4 linked regions of the Anolis sagrei genome follow. The protein of the gene in region 3 purifies or fractionates together with the protein of the main gene of each other region. This does not show direct contact. Links are inferred from orthologs where the notes say so. Each region holds a gene or a part of one and is shown on either strand. Other genes may lie near its edges.

What was found.
Region 1: the proteins of PRKACB (region 3) and AKAP5 purify together in Homo sapiens (affinity purification with mass spectrometry; 4 studies listed by BioGRID and IntAct, counting the BioPlex papers as one, with this or other methods). This does not show direct contact. The link is inferred for Anolis sagrei from reciprocal best matches to the Homo sapiens genes PRKACB and AKAP5.
Region 2: the proteins of PRKACB (region 3) and AKAP9 purify together in Homo sapiens (affinity purification with mass spectrometry; 5 studies listed by BioGRID and IntAct, counting the BioPlex papers as one, with this or other methods). This does not show direct contact. The link is inferred for Anolis sagrei from reciprocal best matches to the Homo sapiens genes PRKACB and AKAP9.
Region 4: the proteins of PRKACB (region 3) and AKAP11 purify together in Homo sapiens (affinity purification with mass spectrometry; 5 studies listed by BioGRID and IntAct, counting the BioPlex papers as one, with this or other methods). This does not show direct contact. The link is inferred for Anolis sagrei from reciprocal best matches to the Homo sapiens genes PRKACB and AKAP11.

The regions. Positions count from the first base shown.
Region 1 is NC_090021.1:330,256,525-330,264,326, forward strand, and holds the start of AKAP5 (A-kinase anchor protein 5), read right to left. Parts: upstream 3,342-7,802; 5' UTR 3,189-3,341; intron 1-3,188. UniProt on the Homo sapiens protein: Multivalent scaffold protein that anchors the cAMP-dependent protein kinase/PKA to cytoskeletal and/or organelle-associated proteins, targeting the signal carried by cAMP to specific intracellular effectors.
Region 2 is NC_090026.1:102,885,775-102,893,969, reverse strand, and holds the start of AKAP9 (A-kinase anchor protein 9), read left to right. Parts: upstream 1-5,128; 5' UTR 5,129-5,245; intron 5,246-5,351; 5' UTR 5,352-5,356; coding exon 5,357-5,404; intron 5,405-8,195. UniProt on the Homo sapiens protein: Scaffolding protein that assembles several protein kinases and phosphatases on the centrosome and Golgi apparatus. Required to maintain the integrity of the Golgi apparatus. Required for microtubule nucleation at the cis-side of the Golgi apparatus.
Region 3 is NC_090024.1:155,447,496-155,455,601, reverse strand, and holds the start of PRKACB (cAMP-dependent protein kinase catalytic subunit beta), read left to right. Parts: upstream 1-4,703; 5' UTR 4,704-4,718; coding exon 4,719-4,905; intron 4,906-8,106. UniProt on the Homo sapiens protein: Mediates cAMP-dependent signaling triggered by receptor binding to GPCRs.
Region 4 is NC_090023.1:145,617,629-145,625,130, forward strand, and holds the start of AKAP11 (A-kinase anchor protein 11), read right to left. Parts: upstream 3,228-7,502; 5' UTR 3,009-3,227; intron 1-3,008. UniProt on the Homo sapiens protein: Binds to type II regulatory subunits of protein kinase A and anchors/targets them.

The sequences.
Region 1 (7,802 bases), on a different chromosome or scaffold from region 3:
AGAGAAATAAGCCCTTTCTGTGACTAAACCATCAAACATAAAAATATACAAACCATACAATGACCGGGTTGTTGTAGGTTTTTTCGGGCTGTATGGCCATGGTCTAGAGGCATTCTCTCCTGACGTTTCGCCTGCATCTATTGCGAGCATCCTCAGAGGTAGTGAGGTCTGAGGATGCTTGCCATAGATGCAGGCGAAACGTCAGGAGAGAATGCCTCTAGACCATGGCCATACAGCCCGAAAAAACCCTACAACAACCCAGTGATTCCGGCCATGAAAGCCTTCGACAATACATACAATGACCCAAAATCCCAATTACTCCCTCCCCAACAGCCTGCCTGTCATCATTCCATACATACTGCACATGTCGCTGCTATTCCAGCCTCTTGGAAATGCATAAAGTGCTCCAGGAGCTTTGCAGTTGCAGCAAGAAGGAAGGACTCTTTCCAGGCAGAGGAAACAAAGGGCTGCAGCCCACAGCATCCGGACCCTAGCAAACCCCTTGGGTGACCTTGGGCAAGTCACACCCTCTCAGCCTCAGAAAAACCACGCATAGGGTCAGACTGGACTTGAGGTGCATTTATACTATGGAGTTAATGCAACTTGACACCACTTTAACTGCCATGACTCAACTGGGGAATCCTAGGATCCTCAAATTGGTTGGGCACCAGCACTCTTTGACAGAGAAGACTAAAGGTCTTGGGAAGCTACAGCTTGCAGGATTCCTAAGCACTGAGCCATGGGAGTTAAAGTGCTACCAAACTCCATTCATTCTACAGTGTGGATCAGTGGTTCCCAACCCATGGGCCATGGCTCACAGGTCTGCAGCAAGGGGTGTGTGCTGGTATTGGAGGAGTGTGAGAAAAGGAGAGGAAGAGAAAGAAAGGAAGAAAGAAAGAAAGAAAGAAAGAAAGAAAGAAAGAAAGAAAGAAGGAAGGAAGGAAGCCAGGACCGTTCTCACAGCTTCCCTGGCACTGTTGGAGGAGATCAAGAGAGAGAAGGGGAGTCCCCTAAAGTAATAATAATAATAATAATAATAATAATAATAATAACAACAACAACAATAACAACAATAATAACAATAATAAGAAGAAGAAGCAGCAGCAGCTCCCATTGCCTGTTTGAGTCCCTCTACGGAGGTAGAGAAGATTGGGATATAAAAGTTTTAAATAAATAAATTTAAATAATTGCCACACATGAATTGTAATGGGAAAGCAGCCCTTTTCAAGCCCCTGTTTAGTCCCCCAAAGTTGCTATTATTATTATTATTATTATTATTATTATTATTATTATTATTAGTTCCCATTGTCAAATACAAGAGATGGATGGGAAAGTAGCCCTTTGTAAAACCCTATTTAATCCCCCAAATTATTATTATTATTATTAATAATAATAATAATAATAATAACAACAACCATTAGCTCCCATTGCTACACATCAGGTGTAATGGGAAAACAGCCCCTGTAAGACCCTGTTAAGTTCCCCAAAGTAGTAGTAGTAGTAGTTGTTAAAGCAACCATTAGGGACAGTTTCTTGGGTCTTGCGCTCTGCTTTTTGTGTTTTTTTCAATCTTAGTCCCCTCTCCCCTTTTAACACAAGTGTTAACAAAATCCACTAATAATAACATAGCCCAACCAACAAAATATTTTTCTTGGTGTCATTGTTTTTAGGACTGTTCTGGGGGTTATTTGAGGTGCTGATTCAGAAAATTGCATTGGATAGACTACATCAGCTCTGGTTTCTCATACAGAACACATGCCATCCAGCAGTCCAGCCATCTGTTTGCCCACAGAAAACCATATTTAATAATTTAGAACCATTGACTTTATTTTAGGACTCGCGGCCCACCAGTGGACCACGGCCCACAAGTTGGGAACCACTTCTTTGGGTTCGAATGTTGGAGAGTGGACCCTGGTCATAGTGGTCCCAGGTCAAGTGGTTCTAGGTCAAAAAAAGGTTGGGAACCAGTGGTGTATGTGCAGCCTTGAAGGCAACACAAGCACAACTTCTCTGCCTAGGATGCGCCCTTTGCTTGTCTCCTCTCCATCTCTCCAAAGCGCACCCTGCGTAAAAAAGGGCTCAACCTATTTTACAGAAGGGCCACTGAGGCTGAAAGGGAAGGGAGTGAGGGAGGGCTTCAAGGGCTGCAGAAACAACAAGGGAGGAAACTCTCCCGCCCCTCAAAACCCCTTTCTTGACCCCTTTCAAGAGAGGCACCCTATTCCTCAGGAGGCGCCACCCTCTCCATAGTGATCCTCACTCTCCTTGATGATTCCTCCCTTGGATGCTGTGAGTTCCTCCCTCCCTTGACTTCGGGAGGGGTTTACTGAAGCAGGAGAGCACCCCACGGAAGCGGGGCAGGCCCCTTTCTCCCAGATGCAAGGCACCAGAGCCATTTCCCCGGCCTCCAAAGGAAGAGAAGCCCTGGCGCAGAGGGAAAGAGAGATTGAGAGAGAGAGAGGCGAGGCAGAAGGATGCGCCCTTGGCACCAGAAAGGTCTCTGCGCCCCCTCTTCGCCCCTCTCCCTTTGGGCAAGACACCCCACAGGCTCAGCCTTGCACCCTTTCCTCCCTGGCCAACCCAAGGCACCTGCCCCATCGCTTGCCTTGGCAACCCCGTTCCCTCACCTGCCTCTTGTGCTTGTCTCAAGGTATGTGGATAGATTGGAGTGCCCCTGCCAAGAAGCGATTTTCCTGTTCCTTAGCAGGGGGTTGGACAGGACTGGATGTCCCATGAGGTCTCTCCCAACTCTATGATTCTCCATATATATACACACACACATACAGAAGTCACAAAGATTGAATGCTGCCTCTATTTACGTTGCGTCTTTCCTTTACAACCCTATATACGGGCGTACAGAGGAGGGAATGCATTGGCATCGCGTGTGGAAAATCCAAACCCTTCAATGGCGCCCAAGACCAGTCCACTCAATCATCAGACCCTGGGTGACTTTACCCCCAACCTATATATGTGTGTGGATCTATGTGTGTGCGTCCCCAAGCTTTGCACGCCAGAGAGCCATCTCTCCCCAAGCTATAGATCTGTCTCTGAGTGTGTGTGGATGGATGTGTGCGCGCCCTTGCACCACGCTTCCCAAGCCTCTCTTCCCACCCTTCTTTTAAGAATTGAGTGGGAATCATGGGTCCTTTCTCTTCCCGCTCCCCTGCCCACACCGATGTCCTGCTCACCTGCTGCTCCCCGGCTTCTCCTCTCCATCCTTTCCTCGGCCTCTCCTGCCGGAGTCTTCTTGGCTGAGCTGCCTGGGATGCTGCTCGGGGTCCTCCTGCCTTTGCGCGCCGGCGCTGAGATCCGCCTCCTTGGCTCCCGAGAGGAAGAGGAGGAGGAGGAGACCAAGAAGGAAGGAGGAGGAGGAGGCAAGGAGAGCAGAGCCACCTCACTACCTCTGAGGATGCTTGCCATAGATGCAGGCGGAACGTCAGGAGAGAATGCCTCTAGAACATGGCCATAGAGCCCGAAAACACCTACAACAACCCAGCAGAGCCACCCTCCTGCAGGGAGCGCCCTTGCTTCCTCCGCCAGAGCCCAAACCCCACAAGGTCCAGGCAGCAGCACCTCAACTAGGGATGGATCTACACTACAGTGTCCTATATACCAGGATCTGATCCTAGATTTCCTGCTTTGATGTATTGCCCAAGGCTTTCATGGTCAGGATCACTGGGTTGTTGTAGGTTTTTCGAGCTGTATGGCCACAGTCCACAGATATATAATTCCAATTTTCCTAGTTTCCAACAGACCTCACAACCTCTGAGGATGCCTGCCATAGATGCAGGAGAAATGTCAGGAGAGCATGCTTCTAGCATTCCACAGATATATAATTCCAATTTTCCTAGTTTCCAACAGACCTCACAACCTCTGAGGATGCCTGCCATAGATGCAGGAGAAATGTCAGGAGAGCATGCTTCTAGCATTCCACAGATATATAATTCCAATTTTCCTAGTTTCCAACAGACCTCACAACCTCTGAGGATGCCTGCCATAGATGCAGGAGAAATGTCAGGAGAGCATGCTTCTAGCATTCCACAGATATATAATTCCAATTTTCCTAGTTTCCAACAGACCTCACAACCTCTGAGGATGCCTGCAATAGATGCAGGAGAAATGTCAGGAGAGCATGCTTCTAGCATTCCACAGATATATAATTCCAATTTTCCTAGTTTCCAACAGACCTCACAACCTCTGAGGATGCCTGCCATAGATGCAGGAGAAATGTCAGGAGAGCATGCTTCTAGCATTCCACAGATATATAATTCCAATTTTCCTAGTTTCCAACAGACCTCACAACCTTTGAGGATGCCTGCCATAGATGCAGGAGAAATGTCAGGAGAGCGTGCTTCTAGCATTCCACAGATATATAATTCCAATTTTCCTAGTTTCCAACAGACCTCACAACCTCTGAGGATGCCTGCCATAGATGCAGGAGAAATGTCAGGAGAGCATGCTAGAAGCATGCTCTCCTGACATTTCGCCTGCATCTATGGCAGGCATCCTCAGAGGTTGTGAGGTCTGTTGGAAACTAGGAAAATTGGAATTATATATCTGGAATATCCATTATGGGAGAAAGAACTCTTGTCTGTCCGAGCTAGGTGTGAATGTTTCAATTGGCCACCTTGATTAGCATTTGGTGGCCTGACAGTTTTTAGGTGTGGCTTGTTACTTCCTGGGGGGAATCCTTTGTTGAGGGGTGATTAGCTGTCCCTGGTTGTTTCTTGTCTGGAGTTCCACTGAGTTTGAGTGTTATTCTTTATTTACTGTTATAATTTTAGAGTTTTTAAAATACTGGTAGCCAGATTTTGTTCATTTTACTGGTCCACAAGTTAAACCCCTGTGCCAGCAGGACTGAAGACCGATAGGTCACAGGTTCGAATCCAGGGAGAGTGTGGATGAGCTCCCTCTATCAGCTCCAGCTCCTCATGTCAGGAGCGACTTGAGAAACTGCAAGTCGCTCCTGGTGTGAAAGAATTGACTGTCTGCAAAGACGTTGCCCAGTGGATGCCCGGATGTTTTAATGTTTTTACCATCCTTGTGGGAGGCTTCTCTCATGTCCCTGCATGAGGAGCTGGAGTTGATAGAGGGAGCTCACCCGCCTCTCCCCGGATTCGAACCTGTGACCTGTTGGTCTTCAGTCCTGCCAGCACAGGGGTTTAACCCACTGCACCACTGGGGGCTCCCATTCTGGCCATGAAAGCCTTTGATAACACATTTAGCTATGGTTTTACAATTACAATTACTGGTAAAGATTCATCCAGTTCAGCGTAATCCATAATCCCCGATAGGTTGTGATCCTATTGGCTGTCTCCAAGGACATTGCCCAGATGTTTTTGATGTTTTACGATCTTTGTGGGAGACTTCTCTCATGTCCCCACATGGGGAGCTGGAGCTGACAGAGGGAGCTCATCTGTGCTCTCCCCAGATTCAAACATGCGACCTGTCGGTCTTCAGTCCTGCCAGCACAAGAGTTCACCCACTGCACCATCAGGGGCTCCTACAGCAAGCAATGAGGATGGATAAATAACGGTGCCGTTTTCATTCTGGAAATGGTTGGAGTATTTGTAACACAGAAGAATGATTACTACCAGCTCTTCTTCAGGGAGCAAAGGATGAAAGCTGGGGTAGAAACAGAGCAATAAATCACGCAGGCACACAAGTGGCAACCTCTCTGATGTCTTGGGCTGCCAATATTTTCTGATTTATTCCTTAGTGGTTCAGCACATGGTGTGAAAAATTAGTGCCTTGAAACCGACCTTTTGGCACAGCCTGGCTCCTTGTCTTGAAGGCCCCGCAAACATCAGTTTTCCCAGTTCCAACACAATATTTAAATAGAAATAAAATGCAGGGGAACATACAGTCGCTGAAGCTTTTTACACTCAACGACAATCAAGTAATTGTTATATGAATTTTCTGCTCTCCGTTAGCTAGGTAGTTATATATAGCAAGCCCCATCGCCTACACACGAACTCCTTTTTTGGGGAGAGTATGTTTCAAAGTTGCTCCAGAAACTTTTTAATTATTGTGCTACCTGTACAGAACTTGACAAAAAAGCACACCCCATAATTGCAGAGCATTAAATCATGACAGTTAAAGTGGTGCCAAACTGCATTCATTCTAAAGTGTAGATGTATCCATATAGGTGCATATATGGGTGCATCTGCACATATATAGGTTATCAAAAGTCTCCTGAAAAGGAATCTCCAAGGGCTTCTTGCAAGATGTAATTGCTCCATCATATTGGAGATGCAGTCAGTTTGTTTGCTGCTGCAAAGACTAGCAATGGAGAAATGGATACAAATTGCAGGAAGAGTTTCCACCTAAATATTAGGAAAAACTTCCTGTTGCACAATCAACAGCGGATTATGCTGCCTTAGTGTGGTGGCATTTCCTTCTTTGGAGGTTCTTTATTGGAGGGTGGATGTCCATTTGTCAGGAGTGCGTTGATTGTATATTCTTTCTTGGGGTTCAAGTGGATGGCCTTTTGGGGTTTAATCTAATCACCCCTCAACAAAAGTTTGCTCTAGGCACTGTCAGGCCATTATAAGCTAATCAAGGTGGTCAGTTGAAACATTCACACCTAGCTCCAGCAGACAAGAGTCCTTTGTCTCACCCAGGTCATTCCACAGATATATAAACCCAATTTTCCTAGTTCCAACAGACCTCACTACCTCTGAAGATGCTTGCCATAGATGCAAGCGAAACTTCAGGAGAGAATGCCTCTAGACCATGGCCATATAGCCCGAAAAAACCTACAACAACCCAGTGATTCCGGCCATGAAAGCCTTCGACAATACTTTTGGGGTTTCTTCCAGTTCTAGGATTCTATTATTTCCCCCTCTTTCTAATGCTTTGAATGCTCACTTTAATTGGCACAGAGTTTCATCTATGCTGATGATCGTGCCATCACTACTCAAGCAAGGTGCTTTGAAATGATTGAACAGAATCTCTCCAAAGCTTTAGGTGCTCTTACTACTTATTACAGGGAAAACCAGCTGATTCCTAATCCATCTAAAATGCAGCCATGTGTGTTTCACCTAAAAAACAGACAAGCATCTCGAGTTCTGAGGATTACTTGGGACGGAATCCCACTAGAGAATTGCAGCACACCAAAATACATGGAAGTTACCCTGGACCATGCTCTGACTTACAAGAAGCACTGCTTGACTATCAAGCAAAAAGTGGGTGCTAGAAATAATATCGTGCAAAAGCTGACTGGCACTACCTGGGGATTACAACCAGACACAGTGAAGACATCTGCCCTTGCTCTTTGCTACTCTTCTACTGAATACGCATGCCCAGTGTGGAACACATCTCACCATGTTAAAAAAGTGGATGTGGCTCTTAATGAGACATGACGCATTATCACAGGATGTCTATGCCCCACACCACTGGAGAAATTACACTATTTGGCCAATATTGCACCACCTGATATCTGCCAGGACGTAGCAGCCAGTAATGAGAGGACCAAGGCATCAACATATCCAGCCCATCCCCTGTTTGGATATCAGTCAGCACGCCAATGCCTTAAATCAAGGAATAGTTTTCTAAGATCTACAGCGATACTTGTAGGAACACCCCAGCAAGCAAGTGTGCAAAAATGGCAGGCTAAAACCCAGAACCTCAAGCCATGGCTGATACCGAATGAGAAACTCCCTCCTGGGCACACAGAAGACTGGGGTGACTTGGAAGGTGCTGAACAAACTGTGCTCTGGCACCATGAGATGCAGAACCAACCTTCAGAAATGGGGCCACAGTCCACGACATGTGAGTGTGGAGAAGAGCAAACCACAGAC
Region 2 (8,195 bases), on a different chromosome or scaffold from region 3:
TTTGTCTTGCTGTCTATGCCCTTGTTCCTATGATAATTGGAGTTTGAAAAATTTGGCTTGTTGTGGAAACAAGGATTGGTGATAAAGCTTCAGCTGCGATACCTTTTCCTCATGAAAACTCTTTCAGGAGTGAATTTCCCTTCCAAGGGACAGATTTCTGTCACTTCCTGTTGTCCCACTCCTGTTCTTAACTATGAGTCATTTGTAAGTCGGATGTTTGTAACTTAGGGACGACCAGTATATTAATTGAGCCAGACAATGATAACTCAATATAATGAGCAATCATGTGATTTAAGACAGCTTCCTTTAGAATAATGTGATGTGGTTCATGGACAAAGTCTTCTCTGAATATTTCACACATAAAGAGTCAAATCTATTTACATGTGCAGTTCGCATGCTATAGCCATGTCTTCTTAATTTGCTGAGCACAGGAATGCTAAATGTGTTGATGAATGCACTTAGCTTGCAAAATTATAATTTATCAAGTTATTACGATGTTTTCTTTTTCTGTTTTAGAAATAATATTAAATGGAATTGGAAAAAAAGAATGAATCACCTAGTAAATAGTTTTATACATGGGGCATGTGTGGAACACTTGCATGGTGAAATAAGTTCCCCATGACTGATATGGTATTACATTCGTTTTGGCCGCCATAAGTTTCATCTTAGAGAAAACTTAACATCCACAGTCAATACTTTATAGTGCCTGTCAGCACTTTTTGCTTATTTCCCACCCACTTTTCCTGTCATTCATGGAGAGCTCTTTCAGTCCTAATGCATAATTTACAAAATCGCCTTCCTTATTCATTCTTTTTCTATCCTCTTTGCTCTTTGTCCATTCTGTTTCTTCTGTCTAGCGTTCCCTGAATGACCTACATTTCAAAGTCTGCATACTCTAGCCTGTTCTTTATCTCCCATGCTTCTTTATCTTCCTGCTCCTTAGCCTTTCTGCCTTCAGACCCTCTTTATCCTCTTTTTTTCGGATCCAAACAGCAACGTAATATTTTTATTTATTTTATTCATTATTTACTTTGTTTTATCTTGCCTTTTTCCCAATATAGGGACTCAAGTCAGGGCTTGGAACTTCTTGATTAGCAGAGACAATGATATATTTTAATTTTTCTCGTAATTCCTTCTAAGCTGAGCTGCTATCTTCCAAATGGCTAGAGCAAAAGAGCTTCTCCAACAACATATTGTCAGGTCCTTATGCTTTAATTTAGTGTGTTGATATGTACACAAGGGGCCACGGTGGTGCAGTGGGTTAAACCACTAAGCTGCAAAACTTGCTGATCAGAAGGTCAGTGGTCTGAATCCGTGAAAAGGGTGAGCTTCCGTTGTTAGCACCAACTTCTGCCAAACGAACAGTTTGAAAACATGCAAATGTGAGTAGATCAATAGGTACTGCTTCGGTGGGAAGGTAACGGCGCTCCATGCAGTCATGCTGGCCACATGACCTAGGAGGTGTCTATGGACAACACTGGCTCTTTGGCTGAGAAATGGAGATGAGTACAACCCCCCAGAGTCGGATACGACTGGACTTAATGTCAAGGAGAAACCTTTACTTTTACATGTACTCAAATATGCATACATATATCATAGAGGTGTGGAAAGCAATGGACACAACTGTATGAATTTTGGACCCCCTGGCAATGGGCATTTTGATCATCATGTGATGGAGGTTTATTTATTTATTTATTTACAACATTTATATGCCGCCCTTCTCACCCCGAAGGGGACTCAGAGCGGCTTACAAGGTATATATTACATACAATATTATATTATTAGCATAGTACAATATCAGCATTAAACATAGCTATATTGCACCATACTACTATAACATAATATTATTAGTAATATTACACATATTAATATATAATTATAATATCATATTGTTATTATATTGAATTACATTATAATATTATAAATATTATATGTATATACAATATATTATATTATATTATATTATATTATATTATATTATATTATATTATATTATATTATATTATTAGGATAGCACTGCACTTCTAGACATAGGCCTCTAGGCAAACTTTTCAATTCCCTTTCAGAATCTCATTTTCTGAGCAAACAAAATAATCAGAAATATTTCACAGCCAATAAATGTGAATTGTAAGTGTAAAATTAAATCTTGCTCCTCTGAAAATGGGACAGTTTTGAAAACTTAAAATAACAGCAAAAGTGTATTATTCTGTTTTAGATATTGATTTTACTTTATTTATCTGTGTGCAAGAGGGATATTCTCCTCCAAGTAAACAGATAGTAACCAAAGGAGATATTCTCCTCCAAGTAAACAGATAGTAACCAATAGTAACCAATTTTATAAAGGGGATATAGATTGCTCCTTCAATTAAAACAGAAAGTGTTTCTATAAATGATTCAAACAAAGGTTCTTGTGCAATCATTTAAAATTCATTCTAATGACAGTAATTCAATCCCATTAATTTAACAGGCTAATCTTCTGCAAAATTAAGCACACTTAGTCACTGAATTAATTGGCTTCATAAGATCAGGTTGTGATTCACACAAACCGTGGGTTTTATTTATCGATTGAACAAATTAATTAAGGACCTTTACTTATAGACCATCTTTCAGGGCCTCAATAGATTGGTATTACTAGGAAAATAGTTTTGCAGAACGGCAAACATAACTTTTCATTTGAAAAGTGATTCAAAATCATGAGCAACAAATAACTTGGTATTATTATTGCCACATCCTCATAACAACAAGCGGCCTTGTAGCTCTTTGAAAACTAAAACAATTATTATGGTACAGATTTTAATGAAAAAAGATGCCCTATAGTTCACCAAATGTTGTGCCATTAACATTGGTATTTATAGAGCCACAATAATCTTTGTTTGTTTTGTTCTAAGAGAATAAGATGGCCAGTGTTCTAGAAAATGTCACAGTTCACAGACGAAGGAACTTGACTGCGATGAACAGTCTGAAGCCACATTATCCTATTGCAAGTTTTGCAAGTCCTTGAGTACATCACAGTGTAGAATTAATGCAGTTTAATACCACTTTAACTGCCATGGCTCAATGCTGAGCCACGGCAGCAGTGTGTGCAAGTCATGTCAGAGTGCATTAATTCTACAATGTAGTGCGAACTTTGGCAAAACCTCAATTTCCAGGATGTTACCCTTGGTAACACCTTTATATGCTTTTATGGTTTTAACTTGAATTGTTTTAAATACCAATGACATTTAATACTGCTTTAATGCCTTATATTGTATATTTTAAATTGTATTGTGATACTTTTAATTGTGAGGTGGTCCCAGTGGTGATCGGCACATTGGGTGCAGTGCCTAAAGACCTTGGCCTGCACTTAAACACAACTGGCGCTGACAAAATTACCATCTGCCAGCTGCAAAAGGCCACCTTACTGGGATCTGCATGCATTACTCGCCGATACATCACACAGTCCTAGACACTTGGGAAATGTCCGACGTGTGATTCAATATAACAACCAGCAAAGTTATCTTGTTTGCTGTGGACTCGTCTTGTTGTGTTTCTAATAATAATAATAATAATAATATACAACTCCAGCTCCCTTGGTAAAACTAGAACTCTTGTGGCAGTTAAAAGAGTATCAAAGTGCATTCACTCTACAGTGCAGCGGCACCCTTAGTAAAACTATAACTCCTAGGATGGTAAAACTTTGTAAAACTATGGAACAGTACCAAATTAGAACTCTCGTGGAAGTTAAAGGGGTGTCAAAGGGCATTCACTCTACAGTGTAGAAGCCCTCTTAGTAAAACTACAACTCTCATGTTATCCTTGGAAAAAACTATAACTCCCAGGTGAAGCCACAGCTCTCTTGGTAAAAAGATGCAATAGTACCAAACTTGAACTCTCTTGGCCGTTACAGGGATGGCAAAGTGCATGGATTCTACAGTGTAGAGGCACCCTTAGTAAAACTACAACTCCCAGGATGTTATCCTTGGCAAAAACTACAACTCCCAGGCAAAGTCACAGCTCCTTTGATAAAACAATACCAAACAAGAACTCTCATGGAAGTTAAAGGAGTGTCAAAAGTCTACAGTGTAGAAGTGCTCTTAGTAAAACTACGACTCCCATGTTATCCTTGGAAAAAACTACAACTTCCAAGTAAAGCCACAGCTTTCTTGGTAAAACTAAGGAACAGTACTAAACTAGAACTCTTGTGGGAGTTAAAGGGGTGTCAAAGTGCATTCACTCGACAGTGTAGAGGCACCCTTAGTAAAACTACAACTCCCAGGATGTTATCCTTGGCAAAAACTACAACTCCCAGGCAAAGTCACAGCTTTCTTGGTAAAACTAAGGAACAGTACTAAACAAGAACTCTCATGGAAGTTAAAGGAGTGTCAAAGGGCATTCACTCTACAGTGTAGAAGCGCACTTAGTAAAACTACAACTCCCATGTTATCCTTGGGGGGGAAAACTATAACTCCCAGGAAAAGTCACAGCTCCTTTGATAAAACAGTCTCATGGAAGTTAAAGGAGTGTCAAAGGGCATTCGCTCTACAGTGTAGAAGCGGTCTTAGTAAAATTACAACTCCCATGTTATCCTTGGGGGAAAAAACTATAACTCCCAGGTAAAGCCACAGCTCTCTTGGTAAAACGATGGAAGAATACTAAATTAGAACTCTCTTGGCAGTTACAGGGGTGTCGAAGTGCATGCATTCTAGTGAAGAGGCGCCCTTAGTAAAACTACAGCTCCCAGGATGTTATCCTTGGCCAAACTACAACTTCTAAGTAAAGCTACTGCTCTCATGGTAAAACTATGGAACAGTACCAAACTAGAACTCTCTTGACAGTAACAGGGGTGTCAAAATACAGTGCAGAAGCGTCCTTAGTAAAACTACAACTCCCATTACACCACAACACTGAGCCATGGCGGTGTTAAAGCGGTGTCAAACTGCGTGACACCGAAAATAAACCCAAGGTTAAAGAAAAGCCACCCTGGGGGTCTGCCAAGGGACGCGAAGCTCTTTAAGGCGGTGCTATGGCAACGGCTGTCCCCGTTGCCGCGCTCCCTCCCGCCGCTCGGAGGAACAGCCTCCCTTCAGGTGGGCAGCGAACGGGAGGCGTTTGGGGGCGGGGCTGGGCCCGTGACGTCACTTTCCCCGGCCGCGTGTTTACGTGGAGGCGAAGATGGCGGCGCCGGTGGGTCCGCCACAGAGCTTGCTCTTCTCCTCGTAGCCGGGCAGAGCTGGCCTCTCTCGCGTGTGACTGCGGGGGGAGACGGGTAAAGAAAAGACGCTCGTTTTGGGGCCCTCAGGGCCACTTCCTCCCTTTACGGCTTTGGTCATAATCATAATAAACACTGTGGTCTCTCTCTTTTCCCGCCTCAGGGACCATGGAGGACGAGGAGAGGCAGAAGAAGCTGGAGGCTGGCAAGGCCAAGGTAAGGACTGGAGGCGGAGGAGAGGAAGGCCTGAAGCGACTTTGGAGGATCAGTACAGTTTGACAGAGCTTTAACTGTCATGACCCAGTGTTGTGGAAGGATGTCAGGCAGGCATGGGCAAACTTGGGCCCTCCAGGTGTTTTGGACTTCAACTCCCACCATTCCTAACAGCCTCAGGCCCTTTCCTTTTCCCCCTCAGCCGCTTAAGCGGCTTAAGCGGCTGAGGGGGGAAAGGAAGGGGCCTGAGGCTGTTAGGAATGGTGGGAGTTGAAGTCCAAAACACCTGGAGGGCCCAAGTTTGCCCATGCCTGATATTGCAAAATTATAACACCACATTTCTCTAGTATGGTAACATGGCAATTGAAGTGTTAAACTGCATTATTTCTCCAGTGCAGATGCATCCTCGATACCTAGGAAGAGAGGAGAGGGTCAAGGTTACCGGTCCATGTAATATAATGATTGCATTCTGACACCAGTTTAACTCAGTGCTGTGGGAATTTGGAAGTTGTAGTTCGATCGTAGAATTATAGAGTTGGAAGAGATCTCATGGGCCATCTCGTCCAACCCCCTGCCAAGAAGCAGTAAAATTAATTCAAAGCACCTCCAACAGATGGAATCATAGAGTTGGAAGAGACCTCATCCCGTCCAACCTCCTTCCAAGAAGCAGGAAAATTCATTCAAAAACACCTCCAACAGATAGAATCATAGAGTTGGAAGAGACCTCATCCCGTCCAACCTCCTTCCAAGAAGCAGTAAAATTCATTCCAAACACCTCCAAAAGATAGAATCATAGAGTTGGAAGAGACCTCATCCCGTCCAACCTCCTTCCAAGAAGCAGTAAAATTCATTCAAAATACCTCCAAAAGATAGAATCATAGAGTTGGAAGAGACCCCATCCAGTCCAACCCCCTGCCAAGAAGCAGGAATATTGCATTTAAAGCACTCCTAACAGATGGCCATCTAGCCTCTGTTTAAAAACCTCCAAAGAAGGAGCATCCACCACACTCCGGGGCAGAGAGTACCACTGCTGAACAGCTCTCACAGTCAGGAAGTTCTTCCTAATGTTCAGATGGAATCTCCTTTCTTGTAGTTTGAAGCCATTGTTCCGCGTCCTAGTCTCCAGGGCAGCAGATAACAAGCTTGCTCCCTCCTCCCTGTGACTTTCTCTCACATATTTATACATGGCTATCATGTCTCCTCTCAGCTTTCTCTTAAGGCTAAACATGCCCAGGTCTTTAAGCCGCTCCGCTCCTCATAGGGCTTGTTCTCCAGACCCTTGATCATTTTAGTCTCCGATCCTTAGCCTTTTCTGTCAAAGGGGGCTGATGCCTCACCAAACTACACATCCTAAAATTCCATAGCATTAAGTTAAACTTCTGTCAAAATGCCTTCATTCTATGGTGTAGATCAGGCATGGGCAAACTTTGGCCCTGCAAGTGTTTTGGACTCCAACTTCCACAATTCCTAACAGTCTACCAGCTGTGGGAGTTAGAGTCCAAAACATCTGGAGGGCTGAAGTTTGTCTATATCTGGTGTAGCTGCATCCATAGCTCTGAGAATTGTTTCACTGCAAAATTGAGTCATGACATTTAAAACATTTATATTGGGTTTTGTAGGAATTTGAGGTTCAGAGTCCCCTCAAATGATCTTAGGTTTGTGACATTATGTATAAGCTTATTCCATACACAACTTGCTTTGATATACCTATGTTGCCAGCTGGAGTTACGATAGTATTGAATTTTCTTCTCCCCACAAGTTGTTTGGGTTTTTTCATTGTCATCTGGGACTGACACCTGTAAAAGAAACCTGTGGTGCGGCATTTTGGTGTTTCTTTTATGACAGGATTGTGACTGGTGTTGAAATTTGTGGACAAAGTGTTGGGTGGTATGACGTTTTGATTGCATTTTTATTTTTGTTTGAGCTGTGACTAAATGTTGTTGAAATTTGTAACAAGACGTCTCATGTGATATGGCATTGTTATTGTATTTTTCTAACTCATCACCCCAAAAATATATCAATATTTGTGAAGGGGGAGTTTTTTCCCCATTGTAGACCTGTGTTATTGTAGGAGGGAGAGAGGCGTGCCTTGGCATCTTTCCCGTGCTGCGCTTTCTTTGTTTGGGGCTCTTTCTTTGTGCGTATATGCTGGAGGTGGTGGTAATGCTAATCGGTATACCGGGGTCCACCTTCTCATGAAAATGAAAAGCTGCAGAACAAGGCGCTTGCTTACTTGCCTGTATGTGTTGTAATGCGATTGGCTCTTGACAGCTGTTGCTGCTGGACAGAGACACAAGTGCATGCCTTGAAAATGCCACAGGTGCCAACTGGTGGCGGTGATTCTTCTTATTGCAGAATCAGACAATCTGATTAAGAGATCTTTAAAAGGCTTCTTGGAGGTGAAAAAGACTTCTTGGAGGTCGCATGTGTGCATAGCTCTCACAGGAATGAATGGTATTAAGAATGTATGAATCTCAGCCTTCTCAGGCATTGGAGCAGAAGTGCAATGCAGTCAGAATAAAACAGCAATGCAGACAGCATAGTTAGAAACACTATAGGCCAAAAGTAACACAATTCTAAGAAATGCAGTGTGAGATTTGCCACCATGCAAGTTCTCCTCCACACAATGGGCTGTCAGGCATGCCTGCGGCACCACCCCCAGCCCTTGTACCACGTGATATAGAAGCAGACTAACATTTGTATATCTGATTCTTGTGATCCACCCCCCTCAGTTAAGGGATAGAATCTATTTGTAGACACCTTGTGTCATACATTATAGTATATTTGATACTTA
Region 3 (8,106 bases):
AAGAAGGAGTTTGTAGATTTGTAACATTCAGAAGCCTGAAAGTATCTCAAACCAGCCATTTTGTAACATCAAGCCTTGTGCCAAGTTCAAACTCTCAAAACTGCAACAATTACGTTCTGTTAACAATAAAACTTGTTCTCTTTTTATTTCAAACCTGCCTCCTCCATTGCTGTTATGCTTGGTGCATTCCACACTACCAAAATCACCTCACAACCCAACTAAAGATAAACAGAGACATAAACCAGCGTCTCTAAACATATTGGTGGCAGCTTAATAGATATTTAAAAGAAGGTTCCTCACAGAATATTGGTGGCATTAAAGAAGATTGATGCTTCCTCACATAATTTTTGGTGGCATCTAGTGAGATTAGCGCTGCTTCTTTACATTTTTGTTGACAAGCGGTGGGATTAACGCTTCGTTACATTTTTGGTTGACAAGCGGTGGGATTAACGCTTCGTTACAGTATAAATTTTACGTAATATTTTAAACACTATAATAAAAAGAAACACTATGGGTTAGGGGTACGTAAGGTGAAGGTATTGTTGGGTTCTGGGGAGGAAGGGAAATGGAAATATAGGGGGAAACAAGGAAAGAAAGGAAAAGGGTAGATGCAGGGAAAAGGGGATGGGAGTGGAGAGTCTATTGACTTCCGATCTTCTTCGTAGTGGTTATATTTATTCTCAGTCTCCCCCCCCCCCCCCCCCAATTTGCTTCTCCTTTTTATTCCATCCTTTCCAGGAAAATTCCTGTCAAACATTAGATTGTTTTATATTTTCAAACTTTTTTTCTCTTGAGTCATATAATCTTTAAACAATTGCTAATCCATTCTTTGCTTTGGACTTCCTTGGTATTTTGACAATAATTGCATCAATTTATCCATATTCATAATTTCCATCACTTTTATTAGTCAATGTTGTACTGAGGGTATTTCTTTTATTCTCCAACAACTTGCGTAGACTATTCTTGCTGCTGCTGTTAAATTGTTGAATAGTCCATCCTTGTTTTCATCTATATTTATGTCCATTATTCCTGGTGAAATATATTCTAATTTCATTTCTATTTTTATATTTAGGATTTTTTGAGATGTTTCTTGAATCTCTTTCCAATATTTTTTTGCTTTGCTACACATCCACCACATGTGGTAGAAAGTGCTCTCTTGAGTTTCACTTTTCCAACATTTATTTTGCATGTTTTTGTACATTTTCCCCAATTTTTATGGAGTTATGGACCATTTCGTTTTAATTATGTTAATATTCAGTATTGTTTTAAGATTTTTTTTAACTATATGGATTTAGTGTGTCTTTTTTGCAAGTTGCCTTGAGTCCCCGCCTAGGGGAAACACAGGATATAACTAAAAGGATGGATGGATATTTAATCAGTTGATACTGCTGGAATCCTAGATGCACTGATGCACCCGAAACTTTGGGAAACCTAAAAACTGGTTAATATGGTAGTAGTAGATCTCTTTAGGGGATTTTATTCAATATTATGGTGCAGCTACATCTGCACATAGCTGAAAGATCTTGCACTTGTTAAAAGTTTTTGCTGGGACTGGATATGGTTAAATGTTTGCACTGACCTTTGTTTGACTGCTGCTTTTCTATATACATTGAGCCTTTTGCTGAAGTTTCTGTGTTAATTGCACTGTGACTCATACTGTATTTTTCATTTTTTATCATGAAAAAAAAACACCCCAGTTTCCATTCCTTGAACATAACGTTCCTTTCATGGAAAAAAGCTTTCCTGCTTCTTCCTTCTCTCACACCCCCTGAAAATGTCTCTCTTTGAGGATTGAAGGACTCTCTGGTATCCCTTACTATGCCTTCCAATTCTGTATCCAATTTTGGATCCCAGCCCAAGTGCCTAGTACATTGTATTTTTTAAAAAATTCTTTCCTCTAGCACAAATTACTTTTGAGGATAACTTTGTATACTGAATAGGATAACTTTGTATACTGCATTTTTACCTTTTGAACAGCAGATGCCAGCAGATATCTTCTGAATTTAAAATAGAAATGTGGCCAGCGCTGCCATAGCAACAACTTCCTCTGGGCGTTGTTATTTATAGAAACATTGCTGCCTCATCTTTACATTGCTCTCTTGCTAAAGAAAGACTTCCTCAATGGCTTTAAAAAGCTCTGTTGGCGAGATACAGGGTATGGTTAGTCCTGAATTGATTTTAGCATTCTTTTGCATTAATTGTGTTTTTAATGTTTTATTTGATTTTAGTAATAAGCAGGGATTGAAAGAGCTACTTTAGACACTCCTAAGACCTTAAGGAGCATACACACTTTAAAAAAACTTTGTTTTTTTTCTTTAAACAGCAGTTGTCCCTCTCCACTTCATCTAACAACATTTCTAAAACACACAATCATCTAAAAACATTCTACAAAATACACATATAAAATATATTTCTACAAAATACGTATTAAAATATACAGAACAAAGATTAAACATAACATGCAAGCTTAAAAATTATGAATTAAACTGGTTGGGTCAGCCTGCTGGAAGAGAGGTCTTCAAGTGTATTTTAAATTGTGACAGCTAATCTCTCTGTCAGAGCTGTTCTGGCAGGTTGTTCCACAGTTGTGGGGTGGCCGATGAAAGGATCCTCTGGGTGATGGTCGCCAGTCAGGTTCTGGCAGGCTGAGTAGCCGCCCCTTAGAGGACCTGAGTGTTTAGGGTGGATTGTACGGAAGAAGGCGATCCTTTAGGTAATCTGGGCTTTAAAGATTAAAAACAACCCTTTGTACTTTGCCTGGAAACTAATTGGCAGTCAGTGGAGTGACTTTAGGATAGGTATAATATGCTCACTCCTGGATGTTCCTGGCTGCTGTATTGTGAACTAATTGGAGTTTCCGAATTTGGTACAAGGGTAGTCCAATGTAAAGCGCATTGCAGAAGTCCAACCTTGAGGTTACCGGCGCATACACTACCATCTTTAGGTCCTCCAAATCTAGGAAGGGGTGCAGCTGGAGGATCAGACAAAGTTGATAGTACTCCTGATATTTGAAGACACTGATTCAGAAGCACTCTCAAGCTGCGGGCAGAGTCTTTCAAGGGGAGTGTAACCCCATCCAGAACTGGTTAACATACCCCCACCCCAGATTAAGGTCCTTGATTGCAAACACCTCTGTTTTGTCTAGATTCAGTTTCAATTGTGTTTTCCTCATCCAGCCCATTACCTCCTCCAGGCATTCATTAGGCGATATCTGTTTAGTGTTCTCTGCTGATAACTATGCTAGGTATTTGCACTATTGACCATTTGTTGTTGTTGTTGCTGTTGTTGTGCGCCATGATGTTGTGTCTAATCTATGTTGTTTCCAACTTATGGTGGGGTTTTCTTGGCAAGATTTATTCAGAGGGGATTTGTTTTGCCTCCTTCTGAGACTGAGAGTGTGTGACTTGCCCAAGATCACCAGTGGGATTCCATGGCTGAGCAGGAATACAAACACTTGTCTCCAGAGTTGTACTCTAATGTGCAATTACTACACCATGCTGGTTCTAAATCCATGCAAAATTACAAGATTAGAACAAATTTACTTACAGTGCAATCTTGTACATGTCTGCTCAGATATCATCTTCACTGTGTATGCCCAGTGAAATTATGCAGTTTTGAGTACATAGAAAGCTCCTAAAATTCTTTCAGTAACTTATATAAAATTCTACTATTTGTTCAATATTTATCACATCTGAAAAGATGAATACATGTATTCTGTAAGTTGAAATATGAATATGTGCTATAGTAAAGAGAGAGTTGCAAACTATGGTACTTTATCTTGATTGTTGCTATATGAGAAATAGGAGGAAATAGAAACCACATATTATGTAATGAAATAAAGTGAATTATTTGGAGAGAAACAGGCTCATACATTAACACTTTTTGAAATGGACTTGTAATATGCTGAAAGTCATAAGCTCTTCAGAAGTGTATACAGTTAGCTCTCTGTGTCTACAGGTTCTGTATCCGTAGGTTCTTCATCCATAGATTTAATCGCCCATGGATTAAAAACATTACTATACCATTGTATGTAGTGGAATTTGAGAACCCCCAATTTTTGGTATCCATATGGGGTTTGGAACCAAACCCAGTGGATACCAAGTGTCCATTGTATCATCACAAATATGGGCTTCTCAGATCTGAATGATGTACATGGAGGAGTCTAAAGATTATTTTACATAAAATCTTCATACTATACAGTTTGTAGCCTTTTGAGTAAGTTGACATAAAAGCATTCCATTCATTCCCCAGATTGTTCAAAATATATTTCTCCTTCTTACACTATATGTAGCAGAAGCCCATTGTATGATTTAATATGGATAATAACTTTTTCCAAAAGTTAAAATTCAACACAAACTCTTTTAGGTATATAATATCCGTTTATGCATATAGATGTCTGCATAATCAGTTTTCTAGTGCCCTTTTTGAATTTAACAAGTGTGTTTGTTCTCAACATCATGTGGCTTGTTTGGGAAAGAGGGAAAGCACGCAAACAAGTCATGTTGCCCCCCCCCCCCCCCGTCACCACACTGAGCTGATATCGAGAGCCTGAGAATAGCTCTTGAAGTTGGTTTTATATTAACAGGAAGCAGAACAACAGTTGTGGCTAACGCACTGCATACAGGAAGTCTGACACATGCACAGCACTTGGCTTTGAAGTTGAATTCTTAAGTTTGGAGTTATTTCTTTCTTTTAACACACAAACTAAATGTGTATAGATGGCTGCTCAGAAGGAGTTACAGGGCAACCCAAGCACAGGGACTGCAAATGCTTTGCAGAGACTGGAAGGATTTGCCAACAGGCTTTTTCACAGGCACTCCAAGGGTTCCTCCAACGAACTGAAAGCAGCTCAGGAAAATGAGTCTCCGCACTTCTCTGAACTCGCTGCACTGTGGGAGAGATCAAGTAAGTGTGTGGAGGTTACTTGGTTTGTAATGGCAAGTTTTAAACTGTGGCATACTAAATATAGAAAAATGTTGACAGCCAAACTGGCCTGTTAAATGATCAGCAGGTGGATCCAAGTCTGTAGTTCTGTTTCTTGAAACACTTGCTGGTGGTGGAGTAAAATTAATGATCAGACTTCCTTTTGTCAATTTATTCTTTTACATGATTTTACCTTGACGTTTAAATGCACATTTCTTTCAAGTTGTCTTTCTAAAGCAATACGATCCTGGCCTTTCATTGTTCACTTACCTTATATTATAACTTTCAGAGGAGGGAGCATGATCTAACAAATGGACATTCAGTCCAACAAGGATGGCAAATGTACTGAAGCAGGTCACATAGAAATCACTTTTTCCATTTAGGGCCCCAAATGGGCAATACTGGTACAGTGTGGAAAATGGGGTAACCAGGGTTGTAGCCAGTAAATTTCCTCTTGTTCTATACAGCCAGCCAATCTACCTTTAATTTTTTAGAAGACCTTAGTTATATTTTCTGCTATTACACTTTAAAAAATCTATAGATTGAACCAAGTCTCTTAATGACATCTGACTGGTTTGGATATTTGTTTTCCTTTTACATTCGCTGATATTTTAAAACCACAACTGCTTCATAATAACACATTAAAATATAAGTAAAAGCAGGATTTGGCAGCATGTAGTTCAAATTAATTAGTTATTTGTAACTCAGCCCCCTTCCACACAGCTCAATAAAATCTCACATTTTCTGCTTTGAACTGGAATATATGGCAGTGTAGACTCAGATAACCCAGTTCAAAGCAGATCTTGTGGGATTTTCTGCCTTGATATTCTGTCTGTGTGGAAGGGTCCCAAGTTTCCGATTATAGTAACAGAATTATAGCTAAACTACACTTGCAACTTACTAGCATCACTCCTTTTGCAGCATTACTTTATAGTCAAAAGATTGTATCTACTAAATGGCCAGATAGTTTCAACGCTGGGTCATGTTGTACTTTTGCAGCTACCTTTTGTTGTATTACGGCTCTTAAGAAAGCAAGAAGCTCCCAGGGAAAATGGTGTTTTGCACTACAGACCAGAGGTTTTAAATATTTGTGTGTTTGTATTTTTAAAGTATTTTCTGCTGTTGTTTTTGAAAATTCAAAAAGTACAATGAATACTTTTTGTCTTTTAATCATATAATTGTTACTAATTACGTTGAAATTATAAAGACTACTCTTAAAAAAGTAGTTTTCCAAGCTAACTAAAATGCATTAACTTTCCAAAACAAAGTGCTGCTGTTTACCAGATTATTTTGTTCTAAATTTAGTTTGCTACAATTACTATATCATTCCTCAAAGGAGTACAATGTCACTTTAGCTTTACTCTAATCATGAGATATAAATTAGCTTGAGAGAGGGAGAGAAAGAGTGAAAGGCAGTGAAAGCTCTTCACAGAAGTGGTTCTTAATGTAATATTTTATATTCAAATTTTAAACCACAGTGTCACGGAAAGTACTTTATACAATATTGATAATCCAGCCTCACATAGCAGTTTGAACATTGAACAGGGCTATAGGAAGACCTGGGTCTGAATTCCCAATTGGCCATGTAAGGAAGTCCATGTAAACCATCCCTGAACAAACTTCACCAAGAAAACCCCCTTGATAGGGTCACCACAAGTCAGAAATGCCTTGAAGGCATACAGCAACATTATTGACTATAATATTGACAATACGCAACCATAATATTTTCATTACAGATTTGAGAATGTAAACACTTACACCTATTTATTTATAGATGTAGGTATATTGATACCTTTCATTTTTTTGCTTTAATTTTATATACCAAAATAAAGAAGATTCTGCTTTGGTCAAACTCTGTTACAGAGAATTGAGAGTTTGTTTGGTTTTCGTTCTGGGTTTGGAACAACTTAGTCAGCCTTCCTTATCGATGGATTCAGTATCCATGGATTCAACCAACTGTGGCTCAAAAATATTCCTAAAAATAATAAAATTTCCAAAAGCAAACCCCAATTTTGCCATTTTACAATGCCACTGTACATAATAAGAAATGAACATCTATAAATATTGGTGTCCATGTGGAGTCCTGGAACCAAACCTCTGCCCAATATGTTTACATTTACATTAAAATTAGTTATGAACAATAAGGGTAATGCTTTTACATATACACATTTGTCAATGTTATTTTAAAATAACCAATTGATTATATAGTAGACTTGCAGTTATCCAACATCCATGGGGATGGTCAATGCCAGATAAGCATAGTTTCTGGTTGCTTGAGAATTACTAATAAAGGTAGGTTTAACTAATACTATACTCAATGCCATACCCTACCATAAACTCTATATTGACTTGGTAATAGGTTGGGGCATTTGGGGGTCTGAAAATGAAAAGCTGTTTCTTTCGGCGATGCAGAAGATTGGGCCATGTTAATCTTACCTTATTAGCTGCATACCAACACAACAGCATTGGAATTTTGGAATTTATTGCCATTTCTGGAGATTTTACATGCTTCCTTCTTTTCTCCATTGCTTTGTCAGAAATTGATGTTCGTGAGAAATAGCTTAACAAGAAAATTACAGATGTTTTCCTGGGAGAAATCCCGGTGTATATATATCCACCAAAATAATGTAAAAATGGGTAAAAATCACAATCTTCTAAATTTTTCAGGACAAAATTTAAAAATCACAAAGGAGAAGGCTGGGCTCTTGTGTCTAATTTAATGTATTTGCCACTGAAATATTTCTGTTTATCTGGGGCTGCCAGGATTAAATGATGTCAATGTTGTGGCCTGTTGTTTTTTTAGAGGAAAATGGGCACTCAAAATGAAAAAAAAAGCATTCGAGGAAAGCATTTCACAGATATTTTGGATTCTTGCAGGGGTTTTTTTTTTTTTTAACTTCTGCCTAGAACTCCAACAGACTGGGTAAAACGTGCTTATGTTCAAGATTAGTGCCCTTGATGGCTCCTGCCAGGAATATAAACATGCAGGTATGGAGTGAGAGAAGGAAAGTGAGAGAGTTGCCACTAGTTTCAGAGCTAGCCTTTTAAGGATTATGAATGTGAACAAGATTGTGAGCTTTTGAGCTAATTGAAGTTCATTTTATGTTTAAATGGTGGAGAGACCTTCCCTATTTTAAGCCATGCTGTCTGACTTGTTCGACAAGGAAACAGGTAGTGAATAAA
Region 4 (7,502 bases), on a different chromosome or scaffold from region 3:
GCTGGGAGCTTTCCAGGCTGCATAATCATGTTCCAAAGGCAGTCTCTCCTGATGTTTGGCCCACATTTATGCCCGGCATGCTCAGAGATTGTGAGGTATGTTGGAAACTAGGCAAGTGGGATTTATATATCTGTGGAATGTCCAGGGTGGGAGAAAGAACTCTTGTCTACTTGGGGAGAGTGAATGTTGCAATTGTCCACCTTGATTAGCCTTGCAGCTTCAAAGCCTGGCTGGTTGCTGCCTGGGGCATCCTTTGTTGGGATATGTTAGCTGGCCCTGGTTGATTCTTGTCTGGAATTCCCCTGTTTTTCAGAGTGTTGTTCTTTATTTCCTGTCCTGATTTTAGTGGGGTTTTTTTCCATACTGGTAGCTAGATTTTGTTTATTTTCATGGTTTCCTCCTTTCTATTGAAATTGTCCACACGCTTGTGGATTCCAATGGCTTCTCTGTCTGTATTATTATCTATCTATCTATCTATCTATCTATCTAAATGCTCTGTTTGTTTTGAGTGACATCATAACTCAAAATCTGCTGGACGAATTGCCGCCAAATTTGGCCACAAGACACCTACTAACCCAAGGAGTGACCATCACTAAAAAAAATGATTTTGTCATTCGGAAGTTGTAGTTGCTGGGATTTATAATTAACCTACAATCAAAGAGCATTCTGAACTCCACCAATGATGGAATTAACCAAACGTCACACACAGGCCTCCCATGACCAACTCCCTTCACCAGGGTAAGAAAACGTAATCAAATCCCTCCTGACAAGGAGCCATCCAGCCATAGATATAGATAGATATATATGATTCACACACACACAGATATAGTATCCTAGATCTGAAAGGGACTCCTAAAGAAGGACAATTATTTATTTATTTATTTATTTATTTATTTAAAGCATTTATATTCCGCCCTTCTCACCCCGAAGGGGACTCAGGGCGTAGCACAACATATAAACTGCAAACATTCAATGCCGAAACATATTAGACCATACACATGCAAAAGCATTAAAACCACTTATCTTGACATTAAAATCCACTACTTAAAACTGTCTGAACAACCATATCAAATTTGGTTGGCATACTAAAGGTTCCTATCGCTGCTTCATTGCACAGTCCCAAACGTGCACAGTCTGCATGTTCCAGAGTAGGCAAACCAGATAATCTCCTCATCAACACTGACAAAGAAACAGCAAGAAATACTACTCACCCAAAAGCATAAAGAAATTACATATATTAGAAACCAACACTTTCTCTTTACTTTATTTTCCAGATCACCAGACTGGGCCATAGCAATGCATGGCAGGGGACGGCTAGTTATTATTATCTATATAAATAAAAATGTAATGTTTGTTTGTAGGATTAACACAACTCAAAACCCACTGGACAAATTGACACCAAATTTGGACGGCATACACCTAACAACCTAATGTATGTCCTTCACTAAAAAAAAAAATTGATTTTGTCATTTGGGAGTTGTAGCTCCTGGGATTTATAATTAACCTACAATCAAAGAGCATTCTGAACTCCATCAATGATGGAATTGAACCAAATGTGGCACACAGGATTCCCATGACCAACAGAAAAGACTAGAAGGGTTTGGTAGGCATTGACCTTGAGTTTGGGAGTTGTAGTACACTTATACCCAGAGAGCACTGTGGACTCAAACAATGATGCATCTGGACCAAACTTGGCACGGATGCTCCATATGCCCAAATATGAACACAGATGGAGTTTGGGGGAAATAGACCCTGACATTTGGGAGTTGTAGTTACTGGGATTTATAGTTCACCTACAATCAAAAAGCATGCTGAACCCCACAAATGACAGAATTGGGGCAAACTTCCCACACAGAACCCCCATACTTAAGGGCATCCAGTCCAACTCCCTTCACCAGGGCAAGAAAATGTATTCAAAGCCCTCCTGATAAAGAGCCATCTAGCCACAGATAAAAAGGTAAAGGTTGTCCCCTGACATTAAGTCCAGTCGTGTCCGACTCTGGGGTTTGGTGCTCATCTCCATTTCTAAGCCGAAGAGCCAGCGTTGTCCATAGACACCTCCAAGGTCATGTGGCCAGCATGGCCGCATGGAGCGCCGTTACCTTCCCGCCGGAGCGGTACCTATTGATCTACTCACATTTGCATGTTGTCAAACTGCTAGGTTGGCAGAAACTAGGACTGACAGCGGAAGCTCACACCACTCCCTGGAATCGAACCTGCGACCTTTTGGTCAACAAACTCAGCAGCTCAGTGCTTTAACCCACTGCGCCACCGGGGGGGCCAAGATATAGATAGATATATATGATTCACACACACACACACAGATATTGTATCCTAGATTTGAAAGGGACCCCTAAAGAAGGACAATTATATGTTGCATGTTCCAGAGAAGGCAGACCAGACAATCTCTATACCAATATTGACAAAGAAACAAGAAGAAATACTGTTTACCCACAAGCAGAAAGAAATTACATATATTAGAAACCAACACTTTCTCGTCACTTTATTTTCCAGATCACCAGACTGGGCCACAGCAACGCGTGGCAGGGGACAGCTAGTTGTTATTATTGTCGTTGTTGTTATTATTACTAAAGTTGTATCCTGAGGCGAAGCTGTGAGACAAGCTGTCAGAGGCTGTCAGACTCTGTTCCTTCGCGGGTATTGGACTTCAACTCCCAGAAGCCTTGGCTGCCTAGGCCGACGCTCAGGGATTCTGGGAGTTGAAGTCCAAAACGCCTGGCAGCCCGTAACCCCTTCGTGGCCGAAGCAATTGGGAGTTGACTCCGGCCCCAAGCGACCTAAAAACGCCTCAACGGCCCGCCTCAGAAATCCTTCCTTTGGGCATTGGTCAAGTATTAACCTTCCCTGGGCTGTGTGTGTGTGTGAGAGAGAGATAACCCGTGAGGGAAATGGGGCGAAGAGGCATGCGGGGCCTGACAGGCCTCCTTCCTTCGGCCGCCACCATTGGGCTCCTTTCCCTTCGTCTTTCTGAGGGGCCGCCGCCTTACCTGCCGCCGGCCAATTGCCTCAGACCTCCGCCGCGCCCTCCTCACCGCAGCCCAAACCACCTCGCCGCCGCAGCTGGGGCCCCTTCGCCACTTCCTCTCGCGAGACTCGTGGCCTCCATCCCCAACTGCCTCTCCGGACGGCGGCCGCCGCGGCCCCCTTCAGTCTCCATCTGCCGCACGCGCCCCCGCCGCGTCGCCTGACGTACCGCGCATGCGCAGGAGCGCCCTTGAGGTGCCACTGCCAGGGCCCGGGCTGAGGAAGAGGACACACCTGGGGCCTTCACTGCAACACGTTACAGCAGGCTTGGGGCAAAACTTGGGCCCTCCAGGTGTATTGGACTTCAACTCCCACAATTCCTAACAGCCTCAGGCCTCTTCCTTTTCCTCCTCAGCCGTTTAAGGAAGAAGCCTGAGGCTGTTAGGAATTGTGGGAGTTGAAGTCCAAAACACCCGGAGGGCCCAAGTTTGCCCCATGCCTGCGTTACAATGTTAGTCCTTAAAAGACCAACATTTCATTAATATCAGCAGATCTGTGTGCAAAGTAACATATATTAGAATATTATATGATATTTCTAGGTGCAAAGATTACTGCAGATGCAGACTGTGGCCAGGAAATCAGATGAAATCTTCTTGGGAAGAGAGCAATGTCCACTCTAAATAAAATAGTAAAGAGCAGAGACATCAGACTGGCAACAAAGATCTGCCTAGTCAAAGCCATGGTATTCCCTGTAGTAAGCTACAGATGTGAGAGCTGGACCTTAGGGAAGGCTGAGCGAAGGAAGATCGATGCTTTTGAGCTGTAGTGCTGGAGGAAAGTGCTGAGAGTGCCTTGGACTGCGAGAAGATCCAACCAGTCCATCCTCCAGGAAATAAAGCCCGGCTGCTCACTGGAAGGAAGGATACTAGAGACAAAGTTGAAGTACTTTGGTCACATCATGAGGAGACAGCAAAGCCTAGAGAAGACAATTATGCTGGGGAAGGTGGAAGGCAAAAGGAAGAGGGGCCAACCAAGGGCAAGATGGATGGATGGCATCCTTGAAGTGACTGGACTGACCTTGAAGGAGCTGGGGGTGGTGACGGCCGACAGGGAGCTCTGGCGTGGGCTGGTCCATGAGGTCACGAAGAGTCGGAGACGACTGAACGAATGAACAACATGATATGCCAATGGTATTGATTCTATATCATTATAGAGTGGCTTTCAAAATCTAGGCCAGGGATCTTCAAACTTTGTAAACAGAGGGCCAGGTCACAGTTCCTCAAACTGTTGGATGGCCGGATTATAATTTGGAAAAAAAAACCATGAATGAATTCCTATGCACACTGCACATCTTATTTGTAGTGCAAAAAACACTTGAAAACAATACAATAATTAAAATAAAAAATTTAACAAATATAAACTTATTAGTATTTCAATGGGAAGTGTGGACCTACTTTTGCCTAATGAGATAGGATTGTTGTTATTGGTGTGTGTTTTCAAGTAGTTTCAGACTTAGGTTGACCCTGAGCGAGGGCCGGGTAAATGACCTTGGAGGGACGTATCTGGCCCCTGGGCCTTAGTTTGAGGACCCCTGATCTAGGTTATCTGAGTCCTCATTGCCATATTCCCAGGGCCCTTCCACATAGCCCTTTATCCCAGAATATCAAGGCAGAAAATGCCACATTATCTGAGTGTGGACTTAGATAACCCAGTTCAAAGCAGATATTGTGGGATTTTCTGCCTTGATATTCTGGTATATAGGGCTGTGATCGGAGGTCACCCGCCCCCCCACCCACCCCTACCCCACCCCCGGAATTCTGAACAAATAGTTCAAAATTAGGGAATTCATAGTTTTGCCAAGGGCATCAGGCTGGAATGATCCCATAATCCCCTATCTCTCCTCCTGTTTTTATGAATGGACTCCGACTACTCAGTGCTCCCCTGAACTTCCATGCACCCACCCCCATGAACTCTTATGTGTTCATATGAACTTTCATGAAATTTATGGGAACTTTTATAAACTTTTGCCAAACATTATGAACTTTTATGGGCTTTTGGGGGGCTTACATGATTTCCCCTTAGACCCTGCATGATTCCCCCTCCCCCCATAAACTCTATGTATGCTCCCATACCCCCATCCCCTGCATCTATGTATGTCTATTAGGCCTGTCGGTTTTAGTTCGTTAATTCGTTATTTCGTAATTTAATCGTTATTTTTACCATATCCGACGCGATTTCAAAACATATTTTCAAACCCGGAAGGGTTTAAAAATATCGAAACAGCAGCCCCATTTTTTTTACGAGCTTCAGCTCGTCTCGTTAATGGGATGGAGGCTGCTGTGCTGCTGGTGCCTGGGAGCCAATCCGGCGCTCCCAAGCACCCAGCAGTAAATGGGGCGGGCGGGGTGAAGGGGCGGCGCGAGCAACACAGCTGGGAGGAGGAGGAGGAGGAGGAGGGCGCAGCAGCCGGAGCCGATTGGATGGCGTGCGCGCTCCTGCGCCCTCCTCCTCCTCCTCCTCCTCCTGGCACTTCCTGCAACACAGCTGGGAGGAGGAGGAGGAGGAGGAGGGCGCAGGAGCGCGCGCGCCATCCAATCGGCTCCGGCTGCTGCGCCCTCCTCCTCCTCCTCCTCCTCCCAGCTATGTTGCAGGAAGTGCCAGGAGGAGGAGGAGGGCGCAGCAGCCGGAGCCGATTGGATGGCGCGCGCGCTCCTGCGCCCTCCTCCTCCTCCTCCTCCTCCTCCTGGCACTTCCTGCAACACAGCTAGGAGGAGGAGGAGGAGGAGGAGGGCGCAGGAGCGCGCGCGCCATCCAATCGGCTCCGGCTGCTGCGCCCTCCTCCTCCTCCTCCTCCCAGCTGTGTTGCAGGAAGTGCCAGGAGGAGGAGGAGGAGGGCGCAGCAGCCGGAGCCGATTGGATGGCGCGCGCGCTCCTGCGCCCTCCTCCTCCTGGCACTTCCTGCAACACAGCTGGGAGGAGGAGGAGGAGGAGGAGGGCGCAGGAGCGCGCGCGCCATCCAATCGGCTCCGGCTGCTGCGCCCTCCTCCTCCTCCTCCTCCTCCCAGCTATGTTGCAGGAAGTGCCAGGAGGAGGAGGAGGAGGAGGAGGGCGCAGCAGCCGGAGCCGATTGGATGGCGCGCGCGCTCCTGCGCCCTCCTCCTCCTCCTCCTCCTCCTCCTGGCACTTCCTGCAACACAGCTGGGAGGAGGAGGAGGAGGAGGAGGGCGCAGGAGCGCGCGCGCCATCCAATCGGCTCCGGCTGCTGCGCCCTCCTCCTCCTCCTCCTCCCAGCTGTGTTGCAGGAAGTGCCAGGAGGAGGAGGAGGAGGGCGCAGCAGCCGGAGCCGATTGGATGGCGCGCGCGCTCCTGCGCCCTCCTCCTCCTCCTCCTCCTGGCACTTCCTGCAACACAGCTGGGAGGAGGAGGAGGAGGAGGAGGAGGGCGCAGGAGCGCGCGCGCCATCCAATCGGCTCCGGCTGCTGCGCCCTCCTCCTCCTCCTCCTCCTCCCAGCTGTGTTGCAGGAAGTGCCAGGAGGAGGAGGAGGAGGAGGAGGAGGGCGCAGGAGCCGGAGCCGATCGGATGGCGCTCTTGCTGTGAGTTTTCAGGCTCTTTTGCTGTGAGTTTTCAGGGCTGTATGTATGACCATGTTCCAGAAGCATTCTCTCCTGACATTTTGCCCACATCTATGGCAGGCCTCCTCAGAGGTCTGTTGGAAACTAGGCAAATGGAGTTTCAGTTTATCTATGGAATGTCCAGGGTGGGAGAAATGAAAGCCATTCAATGCTAATCAAGGTGACCATTACTGCAACATTCACACTTACTAGGCCTGTTTGATCAAGAAAAAATTTGTTTCTAAAATGTTTTGTAAATATTTACGAAATTTCGTAAATAACAAAACATTTTTTTGGAAAGTTTTGTAAATATTTTAAATATCGAAACAAAAAAACACCCCAATTACAAATCGATTTTAGAAACAATTTTTTTCTTGATCAAACAGGCCTAATGTCTATATTAGAAAATATTAAGGAAAACAACCTTTACATGATCCAGCAACTCATGGCTCTTGGAGTTTCCAAACTTCCTGGGCTGATAGTCCCCTAAAAAAGGACTCAACCAGATCCATTTGCATGGACAATAAGTAAATGGCTCTATCTATCTGGACCTCGGAGGGCTGATAGCCAGGCCATCCAGAACAATGGAGTCTATGGACATACTGGATCACCCAACACAAAAAAAAATCTCTCCATCTGTGAGGAACCCGGGGATTTGTCATCAACCTCCCTGCTGTGCCACATCCTGTTCTCCCGAAACTAGCATCAACTTCATCAATGAACTCCATATCACAGGACAGTGTGACAAAGAACCTAGCCTCTCAGGGCTAGATAGGAATGTTAATTCACAGAATCAAACAATAACCTAGGCCAGTCTTGAGAGCCTAAAGCTATCACCCAGCCATTTGGCAAACACCAGTCACCTTAATCCAGTCAACTAGACATTTCTTCATTGTTTCCCTGTT